2 linked regions of the Notamacropus eugenii genome follow. The protein of the gene in region 2 purifies or fractionates together with the protein of the main gene of each other region. This does not show direct contact. Links are inferred from orthologs where the notes say so. Each region holds a gene or a part of one and is shown on either strand. Other genes may lie near its edges.

Region 1 (9,532 bases), about 310 Mb from region 2:
CTGACTGCCCCAATACCCTAAGACACCTCACAGCTCAGGCATGGGAGCAGCAGCCCCTGTGGTTGCCTCAGGCCAGCACACGTGGGCTCCCATGAGGGTCGTTCCATAACAATTGTCCCCTGTGGCTTCACCATCAATCCCAGGTCACTCTCCACATTCGCTTTCCTCCATCTTTCCTTTCCTCTCGAGACTTTGCCATCATGCCCCCACTGTAGCCTCTATACCTCCATACCTCCATTTTCCATGTCTATGCCCCTTTCCCTCCTTCCCAATCTTCCCTCCCCCATGATGACCAGTTCCCACCTTGCCAAACACACTCACCTCCACTTTCTGACTCTCGTTCCTCTTTGCTGATTTTTTCCAGTAGGTTTGAGCACATTTTATTCAAGGTCTGTATTTGCTTCTATAAAACATGCAGAAACACTGAGGTGAGCAGGATCAGGACTGAGGGCTGCCTGAAGAGCAGACTGCACCCATGCCTCCCAAGCCCCCCATCCCTGGGGCAGAGCACTGGCTTCTGTTACCTGGGCAGCATCAGTGCCGATTCGAGCAGCGTCTGTGGTCAGTTGCTTCTCCTGTTCCTCCACCTCTGGGTCTGGTTTGGTTCTCAGGTGGTCAGGGACCACCTCATGACTGAAGACAGGAACCCGGCCCTCTGTCTGGCGCTGTCATAAGCACAAAGGCTTTGCTATGTTAACTACATCCTCTACTTGGGAATGGGATAAGAGAGGGGATGGGGTTGTGATAGAAGGCAGGGCAGATTAGGGGAAGGGATAGTCAGAGTGCCCACCATCTTGAGGTGAGGGGAGGGGAGAGGTGGGGAGAAAATCTGGAACTCATCTTGTGGAAAAGAATGTTGAAAAGTAAAAATAAATTAATAAAAAAAAAACTATACTCTCTACTCAAGAAAAAAGCACTTTGGTCCCTGGTCCATCCATACCCCAGGCTATCTTTTAACAAGCGCCCCAAAGCAAATGCCACCAGCTAAGTGGAGAAAGGGGCAAAGAGCCCCAGTGGCTGGGGTGAGGGGTGGTCTGGATAGAGACTAGAGGGAATGTGTTGCTCTCGCTGTGCTCTCCCAGGCCCTGCTTCTCACCGTGAGCTCCTCATCTCGGTCCGGGGACAGCACCAGAGGAATGATAACCTGGTTCCGGAGCAATGGGGTCTTCTCATGTTTGAGGACCTTGTTGAGAGTGTTCAGCTGTCCAGAGAGCAGAGCAAAGCTGTCCAGGACTGAAGGCCTAGTTGGAGTGGAAGAGATGGGAATAGGGCCTGGCTAAAAATGTGGGCTCTGACCCATGGGACCCCCTCGGGGAAGTAACAGCTGCCTGAGAGCCCTTCAGAGAAAGACAGAGATGCAGCCTTAGGATTCAGAGATGTGATGACCCTTTACACCCAGGCCCACCTAGAACAGATGCACAATCTGGGACTGAGACTGACATGGCTGCAGGAAAAGAAAAGGCTCTTAAAGCTAGCAAGGCCTGGATAGCCTATACTAAGCCTCCTCAGGAGAGAAGTTCTATAGGTCAAGACCCTGATTAGACCATGCTGTCTCCAAAAGACCTCTTTTAACGTATGAACTAGCCTCTACTTGCCAACGGAAACATAGTGGGCCTTCCCATGGACTGGCCTTCCTATGGCACCCAATGTATGGAAAACTGGAAGAGGAGAATGCAGACAGCAAAGTAAAATGACGCATCTTTCCTGCTGCCTCAGTGATGCCTTTGCCCTTCACTCATACCAGTGGACTGCCAGCATCTGGGGACAGAGGGGAGTCTGTGCTGACTGGGTTCCCCAGCTCTTTGTCTAAGGAGCTTCATCTTCTCTGGACACAAGTGCCTTAACCCTTCTCCAGCCCTGACTTGCACGAGGGGCTCAAGTCCTCCGGGGGGGCCCAGAAGCTGGGAAATTAAACTGTGACTGAGGAGGCTCAGGAGCAGCATGCCTGCCTCCTGCTGAGCTCTAAGGCCGTTCCGCCCACCTGCCCTTACCAGGTAAGCCGGTCATACTCGTTCTCCAACTTGCAAATAAAACTTCCCAAGGAGCTCTTCAGATCTGCCACTTGATTCAGCAGTGCGTCCACTGATGCCTCCAGCTGCTTCTCTTCCCTCTGCATGGACAGAGACCAGCCAGTCAGCCTAAGGTGGTCAGGGCCCAGTGTGCCAGACACAGATCTCGACTTAGAGTCCATGGGGCACCTGGTGTCTGATGAGAAGACTGAGAAGCCCCAGGGAGGGGTGAGCAGGAGGGGCTAGCTGGCAGGGACACAAGTCTCACCCTCACTGCACCAGGCTGCCTTTTCCTTCTGAGTCCTATTAGGGTCCTAATGGGCAAATCCCAGGACAGAGCCCAGAGCCCCAGGCCTGGTGAAGACTTGATGCAGAAAAGCCAGGAGGGGAGGGAAGGGTGTCTGCCCCTTCCCCAGGGTCTGCGTGAGTGCTGCTGACTGCCCAAGACATGCTGCCTCTATTGCACTGGTACCATGTGGCACAAGAGGATCCCCAGAGGGCCCCTGGGCACGAAGCGTGCTCCAGGCAGGAACAAGGCTATGGTGAGAGACTGTGTGGGCACTCCATCCTGAATCTCTGGTGACCACGGGGAGCACCTGCAGAGACAGGGCAGAGGTGGGCCATCCCATTCAGGGCAGGATGGAGGCGGTCACCCAGAGGCGGGTTAGGGGCCACCCTGGGGATTGGCATGCCACACGCTGCATCCTGCCCCCCACCTGCATTTCTCCCGCCCCTAGCTTATCAGCAGCACCTCATTTCTTCTAGGGCCTACCACACCCTGGCATCCCTGGGGTGTCTGCACCAGGCCCTGACCTTGGGGGCCCCTCCTGAGGCAGCCTGTCAGGCTAGCCTGGATGCTCCTGCTCAGTGACACAGGACCAGGACAGCCTGCCCCCACCCTGGTCCCTGGGTCCCTGTGGGATCCTGACCACTCCTTGATACCTGGAGGGCAGAGAATGAAAGGCTCCATCCCTCCCCCCGCCAGAGTTTGCTTTCTCTAAGTCTGCCCTTGGTAGGTCAGCCCTCGGCATGTGGGAGCTCCCCTCCCGGCCACACCCGAGCCCTGCCCCTCAGGACATCTCCAGCCCTCGGCACACGGATCCTCCTAAGCCAGGTGTGAGCCCTGACGACCAATCAGACCATTCCCTGGGCACGGTCCCTGACCGGGGCCCTCAAGGAGCTTGGGGGGGGGGGGAGGAGGGGGAGGGGTGACCCTTTTGCTCCTCTGTCCTCCCACGACAGCCTACACTGGCTGATGCCACGGTCCGGCCTCCCTTCACACCCTCCGGAGAGAGTGGCCCAGGGCACAGACGCTCCCCGGGCTGGATCTTAAAGCCCCTCCTAGCTAGGCTCCCACCTACTTCTCCAGGCTCATTGTGGATGATTTTACCCAGAGACACGTGGGTCCGGCTGGACCTCTTGCCTCTGAGCCTTTGTCTCGGCAGACCCTCCTTCCTCGAATGCCTTCCCGCTGCAGGTTTCAGTAAGCTCTTCTCCCTTCCACGTCCCCTCCCCCACCCCACGCCCCCTCCCCCTCCCCCCGCCCGGGGCAAAGGCGGGGTAGGCTCGCTGCATATATGGCAGACCCTGGCTCACTCAAGGGTGCCTTCCTAGGCCTCAGTGTCTGTACGTAAATTGAGGGCAGGGTAGAGAACGTCGCGGCCCCATCGGGCTACGGGTCCGCCCACACCCCAAGACACTCCCCGGTGTACGCGCTCCTACGCCCCGGGGGGCCCCCAGCTTCGCTGCAGCGCCGCGAGCTCTTGGGCCTGGCCTTCAAGGTCTCCTCCGCGGGATCTCGGACCCGAGGCCGCCTCGCTTCCCCCCGCTACCGTCAGTCCAGCGCTTACCTGCATCTTGTAGGCTGCAGGAACTTCCCATTCCGGGGTACCGCCCCCTAGCTTCCGCTTCCGGAAGCACCGTCGTCGAACCCCGCGACTTCTCCGGGAGCTTCCGACGCGACGGCCGAGCGCTTCCGGGTCGCGGCGGGTCAGAGGTCACCCGGGACCTGACAGCCATGGCGGCGGAGTCGGCCGAGGTAAGGCTGGGGCGGGCGGTCCCGGGAGCTCAGGGCGTGGGTGCGGGGCCAGGCCTGGGGGCAGAGCGGCCCCCCGCAACCCCCGGGGCGCCGGGTCTCTGAGTGCCGAGCTCCCCGCGCAGGTGGACGAGGCCGCGCACGTCTTCCTGCTGATGCGCAAGGGCCACCGCATCTCCCGCAACGTGCGCCTGGCCTGGTTCCTGAACCACCTCCGCCAGCCGGTGCGGGCCGCCTCGGCCGAGGAGCTGGTGAGTGGGGGCGGGGCGGGGCGGGCGGGGGGCGAACGGGGGGCGGGCAGCCCCCTGGCCCCCGCGGCCCCTGACCGCCCCGCCCCCTCCCCGCAGCTGCGCTCCGAGCCGGAGCTGGCCGTGCTCAGCGTCCTCCCGCCGGGCTGGCAGCCGGACGAGCCGCTGGGGCCCCCGGGCCGGGCGCTTCTGCTGGTGCCGTCCACGCGCGTCACCTTCCTGGCGTGGCGCTACCGCTTTGTCATCGAGCTGGACCTGAGCCCGTCCACGGGCATCGTGGTGAGGCCCCCCCCAGCCCTCGGCTGCGGGGGGTGGGGGGTCCTGCCCCTCCCCCCGGCCGCTGGGGGGCTCCCCTTCCCCCACCCCACTCCCCCTGCCCAGCACCCCCATTCTCTGACCTGCCCCCTCCCCCCAGGATGACTCCACCGGAGAGATTCTCTTTGACGAGGTATTCAGGGCCCTCTCCCGATGCGTGGAGGGGCTGCTGCGGCCCTTCCGAGTCCCGGGCTCCTCCATCACCTTCCAGCCAGAGATCTACGTGACCATCCAGGCCTACTCCTCCATCATCGGCCTGCAGTCCCACCAGGTAGGGAGGCTCCTGCGGCGGCGCGGCCGCGTCTGGATCGAGTCCTCCTTCCCCGCCCTGGGCGCGGGGGTCCTAGCGCCTCCCCTCCCAGCCCTGGGCGCGGGGGTCCTAGCGCCTCCCCTCCCCGCCTCTGGGCGCGGGGGTCTTAGTGCTTCTCCACGTTTTGTGCCCTTCCCCCCACGCCCAGGTGGCTGACAAGCTTGGAGTCAGGGCTCGGACTCTTAGGCAGGTGACGCTCACAACTCACTTCTGGGAAGAACGTGGTTAGCGACCACACTGACTGCACAGGGTGGTGGGGAGGATCAAATGTCTTTAAATACAGCATTCTAAATTCTGTTGTGACATCTTGCTTTCCGCCTAGCCTTGCATAGTTATGCCCCAGTGGGTATAGCTGGGGCCTGTACTCCAGATACTCCCCTGCCCACCCCACCCCCTTTACCTACACTTGTGCTATCCTTGCTGCTCTTACTATGTGGTGGGACCCCATACCCTGACTCATCCAGAATCAGGGGATCTGAGGCATCTGATTCAACTAGATTGGAACAAGATTTTCCTCAGCCTTCTCAGACAAGTTACCATCCAGTGAGGGGGTGAGCCCACCCTACTAAGCACTTATTACACACCTGCTGTATGCAGGGGGATCCAGCCAAGGGAGGCGGGAAAAGCTCCCTAAGAATTGACCTAAGTCTTGAAGACAGGCAGGCTTCCAAAAGGCTCAGGTCAGAAAGGAGAGCATTCTTAGGATGAGTCACAGCCTGCGCAAAGGCATGGAGGTGGACCATAGAAGATGAATGCTTGTGTATGGGTAACAGCAAGTAAGCCAAATGGGAAGTGATGTGAAATCAGTCTTGCAGCTGGTTTTGAAGGGCTTGCAGTGCCATACAGGTGTTTCACTTTTGTCATGAGGATCGTGGGGTCCCAGGTACAATAAGGGGAGGAACACAAAGGTGGCAGGGAAGGTTAAGAGTGATTGTACTGAGGAGGATCCCTTTGGCTTCAGTGACAGAGATGGATGGAAGAAGGAAAGACCAGGCATGGGGCCCAACAGGAGGCTGCTCTGTGTACTCTTTCCATGAAGGGTCAGTGAAGGGGACAGCTTTATGAGGGGAGATGAGGGAATGGACGTGGACAGTGTGAAGGGTGGATTGACATGGCTTGGTGACTGGCTGACTCCGAGGAGTCAGTGAAAATGGCTGAGGGCGTGAACCTGATCAACTGGGGAGAGGTTGGTGACCTGGGCAGGCTGGGCAAGTCAGAAAGTTGGGCCCGCAGCACAGATCTTGCTCAAGAGACCTGCAGGAGGTCCAGGCAGGGCTCTGGGACTGGCGTTCCAAAGAGATGTAGAAACGGTAGTGAAATCCAGGGGGCTGATGAGGCAAAGAGAAGAGGATACCTGGGGTCAAACCGTGCTTTCCAGGCGAAGGGGAGCCTGAGAAGATGTGGTCAAACAGGAGAGCCTTGAGAACAGGGCCAGGACCTGTGGAGGGAGAGGATGCAGCCAGTGTTTGGTGCAGCCAAGAACTGGGATTTGGCAGATCGACATGGACCTTAGAAAGCCCCCTCAGCTGGAGTATGGACAGAAGCCAAGGCTTAGAAGTTCTTGACTTCAAGCTCAATTCTGTTCCCCGCAAGTTTTGCTTCTTTCTTTGCTCTTGGGAGCCAACCAGTGCCAGTCTACAGCTCTCCTATGCCCACCTCCCTCTCTCTGCCCCCACTACTTCAGGCTCCTTCCCAAATGGAGGAGAACCCATCTTACATCCTCTCCGTGCCTTGCTCCTTGTCACGGCCTTCCTGAAATATGGTACCAGTCCTCAGTGATGGCTGTGGCCACCTCTCCTCGTGGGTGCTTCTGTACCAAACTGTTGACAGCCCACCAGGACCTCCAGATCTTTCTTAGCCATGCCATTCTGCCACTTTTTCCTATGCTTTGCTTCTGCAAATGTTTTTGAAAAGCTATGCGAGATTCTGGCCATGCCAGTGCTGCCTGCTTCCCATCGTTTGAGGGATTGCCGTCCTGTCTGTGGATGAGGGAGCAGTTCTCCCAAATTGGCCTTTACAGACAGACCCAGGAACCCATGTTGGGACAAACTCAGCACAAGAACCGCCCCGAGGTGCACCGCTGTCCTAGGAGGGCTGCAAGAAGATGTTGGATGGCCACTGGTTGGGAGCCATCCTCAGTCCCCATCCTCCAGTCTGCTGCAGCATGTGGAGATCTTGTGGGGAAGCACAGCCTTTCACACTTCCCTCTTGTTGTTCACGTTGTGTTTTTTCTCTTTTTCCTGGAATTTTGTTCTTGAGATTCTCATTCCTCATAGACTGGTTTTCTTTGTTGAATTTCATCTTTGAAAGGGGTTCACCTAAAATCTAGGGGTGTGTCTGACACATTTTTCTGGCACAAATCCGAATCACCATTCACCACAACCTTGTACCTTCTGTGTGAGGCTTGAGAACGTTTCCTTTTTCTGTCCCAGTTGGTCTGTGGTCCCCTCCTGTGGCCAGGTTGCTGCTCTCTGCCCGTGGTCTTTGCTGAAATAGTGTTCTCTGGCTCTGAGTTCTCCTCATGTGACTTTGCTTTCTTGAGATCTAGTGCTCAGTGGTGTGCTTACCTCCCTGCCTCTGCCCCTCCCTCAGCCAGGCTGCAGTCCTGGGCTTCATCTCAGGCCGCCTTTCCTCCTAGGTCACAGCTGCTACTCAGCAAAGGGCCTTCAGAGGCCGTGCCTACCAGGATTGTGGCTGGGTCATTGGTGTCTTCATTATGGCTGTTTTTATTGGTGGAAAGACAGAGACAGCCGTTTCCTCTCTCCACTTTCTTTTTTACTTTCAAGCCCTTTTGCCTAAATTTGTGAAAACCAGTCTTTGCAAGGTTCTCTCCACCTGGCAGGGACTGTGCTTGTGAATGAAATCCCATTGTCTTCTTCTCAGTCCCCATCATCTTAATCAGCTGCTCGCTTCCCCAACCTCTGATGTTCCTTCGAATCATTTGCCTCTGTGCAGCATTTATGAAGGACGTTTTGGGTGACAGGCACCGGGGCGACCAAGACTCCATCCCAGGCCTTGTCCTCTAGGAGCCTGCAGCATGAAGGGGAGGCGTGTCTGCAGAATCTAGACTGGGCTCTTTCCCTTCTCCTTTGTGTGTCTAAGGCTCGTTGTATTTGGGGCCACGCTCCGAATAAAAGAGAATTCATTTTCTACATATTTAAGTCTGTGATAAACTTGGCTTTTGTTGTGTCTGTGCCCAACCTAAATTCAAGGGAGGAGTTGAGAAGGGAGGAAGGGCACGCTTTTCAGCCCCAGGGAGCCTGAGCACACTCACTACTAGTAACTGGTCAGGATCAAGGGATTTGACTATAGGTGATCTCTGGAGACTTGCTGCCACCTTGTGAGGGAAGACACCTTGTATCTTTTTACTCATGGGGAAATTGAGGCTTACAGAGGTGAAGACACTTGTTTGTGGTCCCCTCGGGGCTGTCTGTTGCTAGTAAATGTCAGGAAGGGAATTCCAGGCCAGGTCTCTGAGCATTCCCTCTGCTCTACCCCCAACCCCTACAAGGGAGACTAAGAGGTATGAGTGTTTTTATGCCACCTATTGCGTGCCAAGCACTGTGTCTGCTGTTTTATAAATACCTCATTTGAGCCTCACAACCACCCTGGGAGGAGGCAGGGCCTGTTATGATCCCTATTTTACAGATGAGGAAACTAAGGAAAACAGATTGAATGACTTGCCCAGGGTCACAAGTCTTGGAAGTATCTGAGACCAGATTTGAACTCAGGTCTTCCTGACTCCAGGGCCACCATTCAGTCCCTTGCTGCTGCTTTGCTGCCTGGAGGCTGGTGTGACCTCATCTCGATTCTGTTTCAGTAAGGGCATGAGCAATTTAGAGAGGGGCTAGAGGAAGGCAACCAGTGCGGGGAATGGCCTGGCACTCCTCATCATAGAGGAGTGATAGCCAGAGCAGGGCGTGCTCAGTGACCATGTCCAGGGGACGTAGTAGCTCTTCTCAGTGGGAGGCTGTTAGGTGGAGGAAGCACCATCCTGAGCTCCTCCTGAGCCCCAGCCCTCCCTGCCAGGTGTTGGCTCAGGGCTATCTCTTGGAACCTTCTCGGCGAGAGACCTTCTTGCAGCAGGTGTACTCCCAGCTCTGTGTCTTTGAGAATAAGGTGGCTGCCACACTCCAGCAGCAGTATGAGCCCCGGAGCCAGGTAGGTGGGCAGGAACTGGCCACTTCTGTGCCCAGGGGCACAGTCCAGGCATGGGAGCCTAGACGGGGCTCATGTGGCCCCCAGGTACCACTCAAACGCATGGTCATAGGCTGGGCACCTCTGTACCCCTGGGGCAGAGTAAAGGCATGTCAGGGGTGGGGAGAGGACTCTGGGCTGTGGAATTGATTGGGCAGGACTGAGCCGTCAGCTTGGACTGCTATACGTGGACAGTGAGCAGTAACGGCATCTCTCATGGGCCGGGGCTTAGGTGGACGCGTCCCACTTGAGCCAGGACCGGCCCCCTGGTTCAGCAGGGGTCTCCATGGTGACGGCTGACATCGGCCTTGTCAGTATGATCCGCCAAGGCATTCTAGCCCTGCAGCTTCTGCCATCTAACTCCAGTGCTGGTTAGTGGGCACTGAGGGAGGAATGGGATGTGATGGGATGGTGTGAG
Region 2 (9,797 bases):
TAATCAGCTTGTACAGCCAATAATGAAACAAGAAGAGCAGATTCCTCTAGAGACAGTGTATAAATTAATTTACAATATGGTGACTAAAATAAATAATGACAAAGGAAATAACAAAGGGCCTGAAAAATAACTGCCTATTTTCAAAATATCAGTAACAATAATGGAAATTCATGAGGCTTTTTACCTACCTTATCTCATATGCGCCTTGCAACAACCCTCTGATATAAACACAACAGGTAGGAAAAGACAGGCTCAGAGCAACTTGCCTATAGTCACATAACTAATGTCACAGGTGAAATTTGAACCCAAGTTTTCCTGACCCTGGTCACTAAAATATGCACCCTCTATCACTAATCTGATTCATTTGTACAACACTGTATTTTTTCTTAGAGAGGAAGAAAAATTTTTTCTGAAATTCTTGTGGGGTGAGGTTGCACTGAATTTAGACTTGACTTTGACAGTACAGGTCTAGTCTGAGGGGGGAAAAAATTAAGCAAAAGTTCAAACTCCAAGTATGATGGCACACTGCCCACTTTTACTATTTATTCCTCTTTCCTTTTCTCAGGACCACGTATGTAGTGGAAAGAATGCTGGACTTGGAGTCAGAAGAAACCCGAGTTCAAATTCCACTTAAAGGATTATCAGCTGAGTCAAATAGGGATACTACCTCATAAGCTTATGATTAAAACTTTCTAAACCTTAAATAACTACAATATTATTGTCTTTAGAATTCTTATGTATAAAGTTGACAAACTTCAGGAGAGCTGATATATCTTCAACTTATTTACAGATATTTTAAGAGTTCAGTTTTCCACATCTTTCCCCTCTTGAAAAGTACATAATTACAAACAACATTAAATGGGCTCAGGCATAAAGACATTCTTTAGCTCTCCCTAAGAATCTTGGGTTTTTACTAATACTACAAAAAAATGAGAGTAATTGTACATGGGTAGGTAGCATCTATATAAACTCTTCACCCAGTATAGAATATCCATGTACAGCAACCATTTTTACACAACTTTCCCCACCAATTTAAAATAAAAAAACAAGGCCTATCCATGCTGGCACAAAGTAACCCAAGGTGAAGCAGATTAAAGGTTATTTGTCAGGAGATGAAGACAGCTAGCTAGCATTTATGAGAACTTTACAATTTGCAAAGCTCTTTGCATGTCATTTCATTTAATCCTAACAATAACCCTGTGATGTAGTTGCTATTATTATATATACATTTCAAAAGAGGAAACTGAGGCTGACTGAGATTAAGTGCCTGGCCCAGGGTCATACAACCAGCAGATGACAGAGGTTGAATTTCACCTCAGCTCTTTCCCTGAATGTAAATACTAAATAGTAACTGTTTCTCTTTTACCCAGAAACCCTGAGGGTCTTCCCCTCTCAGTTTTATTTTGTTTTTGTTTTATTTATTGAAGGGGCCATGCCTGGAGTAACTAATCAAAGAGGCCTATTCAATGAATGGATATATCTCACTCAAAGTAAGAATCTGATAAGACCTTTGCCACAAGTGGCCAGGGTCCCACATTGCATTCTGGGCCATCTCCAGAGGTCCTGATGAATATCTGACCACTGCACCCAGATGGCTCAGGATGAGAAAGTGAGGTTAGTATCCTTGCACAGCCCTCCCTCATTCAAATCAAAGTCAACTGCAAGTCTTGTCAACATCTTGATGTCAAGGTCTTCTTTGAGAATGAAGGACAAATACAATCAGCCACCATGCTGCTCCCCCTACCTCAGTAATTTAAATCTAAAAGACACTCTCTGAGGATGTTTCACAATCCCAGTCAAATCCAAAAGCATTTATTAAGCTCCCATAATTTGTTAGGCACTGTGTTAAGCACTGGGGATACCAAGAAAAGTAAAAAAAGAGGTAGCTGCCCTCAATAAACTAATCTAGAAATGAAACAGTCTAATCAGAGAGGTAACATGCAAACAACTATGTACAAAATGACTGGACATAGGGAAGGCTCCAGAATTTAGGAGATCCAGGAAAGGAAGGTAGGGTTTTAGTAAAGATTTAATCACAATCTAAAATTTAAGAACAGAGCATAATAGCAGAATCCAAGGGGGGAGGGGAAGAGATGAGAAAGGAGAAAGGAAGCTAGGAGGCACATTGGATAGAGTACTAGTCCTGGCATCAGAAAACTGGAGTTCAAATCCAAGCTGAGACACTTATTAGCTGTGTGACCATGGGTAAGTCACTTTACCTGTTTGCCTCAGTTTCCTCATCTGTAAAATAGGGATAACAGCACCTTCCTCCTAGGATTATTATGAAGTTAAAATGGGATAGTAATTATAAAGCACCTGCCACACAGCAAGCCCTATATATTAGTTATTATTCTTATAACAGCACGTATCTCACAAGGTTGTTGTGAGGATCAAATTAATATCACTGTAAAGTGCTCAGTACAGTTACCTGGCACATGTGTTTGTCCTTCATTGACAAGGAAGACCGTGCCATCAGAGAAATAATGATATGACTTGCACTTGGACTTTGTTTTGAGTGAGGGAGTGCTGTGCAGGTCACCAGCCTCACTTCTCCTCCAGAGCCATCTGAATCCAGTGACCAGATATTCATCAGGATGACTGGAGATGACCCAGGATGAGACAGTCGGAGTTAAGTGACTTGCCCAAGGTCACACAGCTAGTGAGTGTCAAGTGTCTGAGGTGAGATTTGAACTCAGGTCCTCTTGACTCCTGCACTGGTGCTCTATCCACTGCACCACCTAGCTGCCCCACCTGGCACATAAATGTGTAATATAAATGTTATTGCTATTATTATTATTATCACCATAGCACCTAGCTCATAAGGTTGTTGTGAAGCTCAAACCAGATAATTATAAAGTACTTAAGCACAGTGCCTGGCAAGTAGCAAGCACTACATAAGTGTTGGCTGCTATAATTATTACTATTAGAAAAACATCTATCTCCCAGGGTTGTTATGAGGATCAATGTAATGATAATTAAAAAGAGATCAGCCCAAGTAACCTGGCACATAGTAAGCTATATAAGTGTTAGCCATTATCATTATTATTATCATTAACATCACCTACCTCCCAAGGTTGTCGTGAGGATCTAATGAGATGATAATTGTAAAGGGATTAGCACAGTTACTGGGCACACGATAAGCCTTAGATGAATGTTAGTTGTCGCTATTACCATTACTAAAACAGCACCTAATACCCAGGGCTGTTGTGAGAATCAAATGAGACAACTGTAAAGAGCTTATCCCGGTTACCTGGCACACAGCAAACTATATAAATGCTGGCTGTTATTATCAACAATTGTTGTTATTATCGCTATTACAACAGCACCTGATTCCCAGGATCAAACAGGATAGTTGTAAAGAGCTTGGCACATAATAAGCACCATAGAACTAACCAGCTGTTATTATTCAGGAGAGTAGCTTGTTTTGTTTTTGGGGGGAGCTCTTCTCCTCTCATTTAGATGACCCCAAGCAGCAGCCTGGTAACTCCCAGAATCGAGGACCTTCCCGTAGAAGACAGAGATAAAAATCCACACCCCACCCCGGGACGGACGCCTCTGCCCGAGGCTCCCGCAGCCGGGTTTGAACTGCCCCCACCCCCACCCCCGGGAGAGGGAGCCTTCGCCGATTGGAGGTCGAGGGACGCCCGTCACAGCCGTGCCCGAGGCTGCAGCAGCAGCCGAGCCGCCCGCGCCGCGCTCTGCCCGCCCCTCGCCGTCTCCCCAGGAGACCGGAGCCTGCAGACTCCTCCCTCCAGCCAGGTCCGCACGGGCGCCTCTCCGCCGGCATCGCGCACCGGGAGCGGGGAGGGGGAGACGCTCGCTGGACGCGGCGGCGGCGACTCCCGCGCGCGGGGCAGGAGCGGGACCGGAGGACAGAGAGACCGAGCGCTGGGAGCCCCGAGCCGCCGGCCACCACCCAAGGCACCCCGGGTGCGATTCCACACCCCCCGCCCCGGGCCCGGGCCCGAGCTGGGGACCCCCGGGGCCGGAGGCTGCTCCGCGCGAACGCCTTCACCCCCCTCTTCGTCCCCGCAGCAACCCCTCGCATCCTCAGGCGGCTCTTACCCATCTTTCCGCCTCGCCTTGTAGACGTGACCGTAGGTGCCGCGTCCCACTTTGCAGCCCTCGTACTCAAACAGATCCTCCACCCGCTCCCGCTCCGCCGCCAGCTTCGCCTTAAAGTCATAATCCATTGTCTGCTTCCCCCATAGAGGCGCGGGGGACGCGGGGGCCGCCGCCGCTCACTCACTCACTCCGCCGCCGCCGCTTCCTCCCGCGGCCCGCCGCTCCACTTCTCCCCTCACAGACGCCTGGCTCCCGGGCGCGCGCACTGGCGCACCGCCCCCCCTTCGGTTTCCCCAATTCGAGCGTCCCTCGCCTTCAGCACGGAGTACCGCCGCAATCGCGGCGGCCTCCTCCTCCTCCTCCTCCTCCTCCTTCTCCTCCGCGGCGGCTCCCGCAGGCACCGTCAGTCCCGCCTCCCTCCTTCATTTCCGTGTTTTGGAACCTGGTGGGCCGCACCGCGGCTTCCTCGAGCTCATTAACGATCAGACCGCCCGCCCCCTGAGAGCCGCTAGGGTTTCTGGGGGCTGTAGTCCAGGAGGTAGTGGAAACTTTGCAACCTGTCCTTCGGAGAAATACAAATCCCAGAATGCCCCGGGCGGAGGCTGCCCCTCCTCCCCAACACCCCCACCTCCGCACCCGGTGACCGCGCCTGCTCCCTGCCGCCACTCCCACTTTGGTGAGAGGGTTAGTGTTTCTAAATGTGGTGACAACCCGAAAAAGTTGTAGTTTGCTTTCCCTAAGCTAGCAGGAACAAGAGGCAGCTAGGCCATCGTGTCGACACTAACGAATCGGTTCGCTAATGGGAAGGGTGAAGAGCGTTTTAGCTAAACCTGTACTCCCTTCTGAGGTTTCAGAGCAGTCGAGAGTGCACGTCAGTTAAAGATGCTCTACGGCGGACTGTTGTTTATTTTCTAAGGCAATTGGCCCGCCTATTTCTCCTCTCAGTCCTACGTCTGACTGGCCGGGGCTAGGCTACTCGTCTCTAATTGGTCTGCTGGAGTCCCGCCTTCGGGCCTGATTCTTGCTTCTGGTTGGTGGATGCTTCTACACGGTCCTTCCCCATAGGCTATTCCCGTTCCATGGCAAAGCCAAAACCGCAGTTCAAATGTGGAGCCCTCAGCAGTTTCCTTGAGCTTTCAGCCGTGGGAGGTGAGGGTTAACGACGAGGGCCGGCCTGCCCTCCTTTCTTCTAACAGGTGCGGCTTCTAACGTGAAGCCTAAGCCGACCAAAGCGCCCGGCCTCGGGAAGACAATGACTGTACAACAGAGGATGCTGCCGTTTGCAACCACAGTGAAAGGTAGAATGAAAAGGTCAGGCATCGTCTAGGCCCAATGCCGAATTACCCCCAGGAATTGTGAAGAGGATTTCTTACACTTTAACGAATTATCGATGGACTTGTAGGTAGATTGGTGCATATATTTTGAAGAGCAGTCTCGCAGCAGGATTATAGTGACAAAACTGATTATATTTTTGAACCCACCAATTACATCGTCAGGGCTCCATGCCTAAAATATTTTAAAGGCTAAAAAAGGAACTATCTGTACAAAAATGTGTGGATTCTACCTCCCTGACACCTCTCATATACCGTCTTCTCTCCTTTGAGTCCATCACCACCCTGATGCAGAACTTCGGCACCTCACACCTGGACTATTTAGAATACCCTGATGGTCTCCGTGGGTCAAGTCCCTCCCCGCTCCAATTCACACAGCTATCAAAATGATCTTCCTAAGTTACAGGTTTGACCATATCACCTTCCCATTCAAATTCCTGTGGCTCCCTGTTACCTCAAGGTTGTTCAGTCTTGTCTTAGGCTTCATGACCCCAAGGGTTTTCTTGGCAGAGATACTGGAGTGGTTTGCCAGTTCATTTTACAGATGAAGAAACTGAGGCAAACAGTTAAGTGACTTGCCCAGAGCCACATAGCTAGTGTCTGAGACTGGATTTGAACTCAGGTTTTCCTGACTTCAGGCCTGCGTTCTACACATTGAGCTACCTACCTGACCATGGATAGTTTTGAGGGATTGCACATCCTATAGGAGGCCCTTCAATCTTCCAGGGCTTGAATCAGTCCACAATCTATCCATCAGCAAGCATTTATAAAGTGCTTCCTGTGTGCCAGATTCTTTGCTAAATGATGGGGCTACAAATACCAAAAAAATGAAAATCCCCACTCTCAAAGATCTTGCATTCTAATGGGACAGAAATTAAGTACTTCTCTATATGTAAGTAAAATATATACAAATATGCACAAAATAGTTTCTTAGGAAGAGTACTAAACGTTGGTGGGCTGGTGTGGGGATGGAGAATCATGAAGGGCTTCCTTTAGAAGATGATGCTTAAGCTTCGTCTTGAAGGAGGAGAGGAATTCTGTGAAGAGTGGTAAGGAGATAATACATTTCAGGCATGGGAGATAACACAGAGACAGAAGGTGAATGTGAAGAACAGAGAGAAGGCCAGTTTGGTCACATGCTCTTTGATACAAAGAAACTAACCTGGTTGCTATGTGTCACAAAAGAAAACAAAAAAACAACTCCATATCCAGCCTGCATTTTCACTGTTCTCCATGACTAGAATTCTCCTGGCTTACGTAGCTTCCAGGTCTCAACTAAAATCCAGCCTTCTTCAAGAAGCCTTCCCTCTACTGATTATCTCCAATTGCTCCCATATACATCTCATTTGTCCTCAGTCATTTTCATGTTGTCCCCACTACCACCACCATTAGACTGAGCTCCTTAAGAGCCGGACCTATATTTGTTTTTTATTTTGTTGGGGGGTTTTTTGCCTTTTTTTGTATCCCTATACTTAGCACAGTACTTGGCACTTTGGTAGTAATAGGTATATAATAAATGCTTGCTGAGTTGAATAATTATACACATAGAAGCTGATGAACTAACCAATAGACAATAATATCCTCAAAAAAGAGCATCTGGAATACCTTTCTGTCTATATATAGGGAATTCCTCTTACACTTGTATTCTATTGTGCTACACAACTACCATGCCTATGGCAAACACCTTTGGCAAGCATGTATCTGCTTGTTTTTCTGCCATATTTGCTGTTATTGAATGTTATTATATTGAGTAAATTTATTTCTAGCTACATCTTTTAAGTATCTTGTGTAATTTTAATGTATGCTTGGGAGATAATTTGCTGGATGAATGAACGAATGAATGGATGAATGAATTAAAAAAGCAATTAAATACCTACTCTGTATCAGACCTGTGCCAAGTGCTGAAGATACAGATAAGAGAGACAGGCCCCACCTTCAAGAAGCTTACCTTCTGATAGGGGTATACTGTACATATAGGAAAGTGAGGGAAAAGGAAGGAAGTTTTTATTTGCAGGCCAAAGGGATTGGAGTAAGGTCACAGGGATGTAGACTGTCACACCTTTTCCAGAAGCTAAGGTAGCTTTGACTTGATTCCTGTTTCAAGACCAGGAGTTGGAAAGAAATGAAGAGTGGTGTGCCCATTGTTGTTCTTTGTCCTTCATTTTCAAAGAGGACAATGTCATCACAGGTGATATCTTGACTTGCATATCAATTGGATTTAAGTGAGGCAGAGTTGCTCACAGTCAGCAGCCTCACTCTCTTCCCAGAGTTATCAAAGTTCCTGTGTGTGTTCGTCCTTCTTTACCAAAGAAGACCATGCCATCAGAGAAATAATGACATGACTTGCTCTTGACTTTGTTTTGAGTGAGGGAGGGCTGTGCAGGTCACCAGCCTCACTTCTCCTCCAGAGCCATCTGAATCCAGTGACCTGATATTCATCAGGATGACTGGAGATGACCCAGGATGAGGCAGTTGGGGTTAAGTGACTTGCCCAAGGTCACACAGCTAGTGAGTGTCAAGTGTCTGAGGTGAGATGATGAGATCAAAGTCAGGACCACTAACAATGGCCTGGAGTACAGTGGATGACCCTGGCATCTTCGATGTCTGACCAAGCTCTAAGCACTCCAAAGTACCTGCTTCAGAACAAATTGTTCCATTCCAGAGGAGGAAGAGAGAGGAGTCTTCACATTCCCTTACCCCACGACAGGTTTGAGGCCTGTTGGTTAACCTCTATCTGGTTTAGCCTATTTACTGAGACAGTTTATCAGATGTGGTCACTGGGCATGCTACAGCTTCTTGGAACCACAGGTGAGAGTCGGGTGAAATGGCAAGTGGATGGCCTGGCAAGCCTTCACATCAAAGGTGATAGTTATCCTAGTTATCCTAGAACACCCCATCCATTCCAATATGTCCGTAGTAGCAGAATAAATGGCAAGATTCTTATACTGAATAGGCCCTCTTTTTCTGGTAGATGACTGGATAAAATGTCATGCAGAATCTGGAGCCAGTTATGTACAATGGACTAGCTAAATTTTTCACATAATCACACTGAGGATAATGCAGTTGCAGGATGGAGTTCCAAAGCTGAGTAAATTTAAGTTGGGAGTGGAAATAAGGGACAAATTGGAAGGATCACTGTTCCTGATGAGGAGAAAAAAGGCAGGGGAAATATCTTTAGGAGAATCTTTATTTTGTATTTTGCTCTACTTCATAAAATAGGATCATCATAGGATCATAGACTGTCCTTTTTTCTTATAAACAAGAAAAATGAGCACAGTAGGATCTTCTAGTCTCAATACCTTTCATTCAATTGTGTGAATATATAAAACTGTGGCCATTGAATATCATTTGTTAGAGACCTCTTGTTCTATTCTCATACCTTCAATAAGTATGTCTATTACTTTCACAGAGATTTTGTGGAAATGGGGAAGTAGGAATATGAATTTAGACTTATGGATATTTTTCATTGCCTTTTTCAGTAGTAATGACATGTAAAAACAAACACCCCAACATACATAGGAGGAGCTGCTATCACAGGTTCTTAAATCTGCATTTCTGAAAGGAAAGTAACTTTCCTTTTAGAACTAAAAGAGATCAATAATCACTTTAATCAAACACATGTATCATTCACTTAGTTCAGGGAGAAAATTCCACACACTGAACTTCAGAGGAAATACAGAGAAATCAAAATCAACAGAAAGGGCTTCTAGCTGCCTGACATAAGCAATATATACCTCATAGATCAACAGACAGATCTAACTGTCTGACCATTACATACATACATAGTTACCAGAGAGAGAAGCTATATTTCCAAGGCAATATTCACTGGTGGTGACTATGAATATGCCAGCATATATATAACAGACTCTCCATATAGATGGTAGAAGAAAAACATTTATTTAGACACCAGAAAGCCAAATCCCCAAACCAGAAAGCAAAATCTGTTATGGTGACCAAGAAGTTAATAAATGTGATCACTGCAAAGGGCAAAACCATTTCCAAGACTACCACTCCCTCCCCACTCACCTCACCCACCCACTGCCTCCCCCCCACTTTCCCCCACCTCTACCACAGCCTTCTCACAAGCAAGACTGGAGAGCCTGAGTCTCCTGTACCTGCCTGCCTGAATCCTCTCTCCTCTGAGTCCAATCATACTCACTCACTTTCTCCAGTTCTGCTTCACCCTTCCTGTTCCGCCTATTCAGCAAGCTCCTCCCACCACAGGTGACTTAGGCTTCCAGGTGATTTAAGCAGATCATATGGGCCTATTAATGAATGACAAAGAGCTTTCCATTTAAATTGCTATTACATCTGGATTTTCAAAAGGGGGGGGCTCCTTAGCAGCTGCCCAGAGTATCATGTGGCCAAATAAACACTCCCAAATAGTAAGCCCCAACATAA

The links. The genes of interacting proteins can lie anywhere in the genome.
Region 1: the proteins of CDK19 (region 2) and MED8 purify together in Homo sapiens (affinity purification with mass spectrometry; 6 studies listed by BioGRID and IntAct, counting the BioPlex papers as one, with this or other methods). This does not show direct contact. The link is inferred for Notamacropus eugenii from reciprocal best matches to the Homo sapiens genes CDK19 and MED8.

The regions. Positions count from the first base shown.
Region 1 is NC_092873.1:504,904,136-504,913,667, forward strand, and holds the start of MED8 (mediator of RNA polymerase II transcription subunit 8), read right to left. Parts: upstream 3,873-9,532; 5' UTR 3,866-3,872; coding exon 3,860-3,865; intron 3,493-3,859; coding exon of another isoform or gene 3,470-3,492; exon of another isoform or gene 3,212-3,469; intron 3,124-3,211; exon of another isoform or gene 2,111-3,123; coding exon 1,992-2,110; intron 1,242-1,991; coding exon 1,097-1,241; intron 666-1,096; coding exon 525-665; intron 404-524; coding exon 322-403; intron 1-321. Other genes in the region: KICSTOR complex protein SZT2, read left to right, coding at 3,470-3,492, 3,873-4,047, 4,170-4,295, 4,392-4,571, 4,708-4,878, 8,947-9,078, 9,347-9,485. UniProt on the Homo sapiens protein: Component of the Mediator complex, a coactivator involved in the regulated transcription of nearly all RNA polymerase II-dependent genes.
Region 2 is NC_092873.1:190,842,043-190,851,839, forward strand, and holds the start of CDK19 (cyclin-dependent kinase 19), read right to left. Parts: upstream 4,659-9,797; 5' UTR 4,194-4,658; coding exon 4,066-4,193; intron 1-4,065.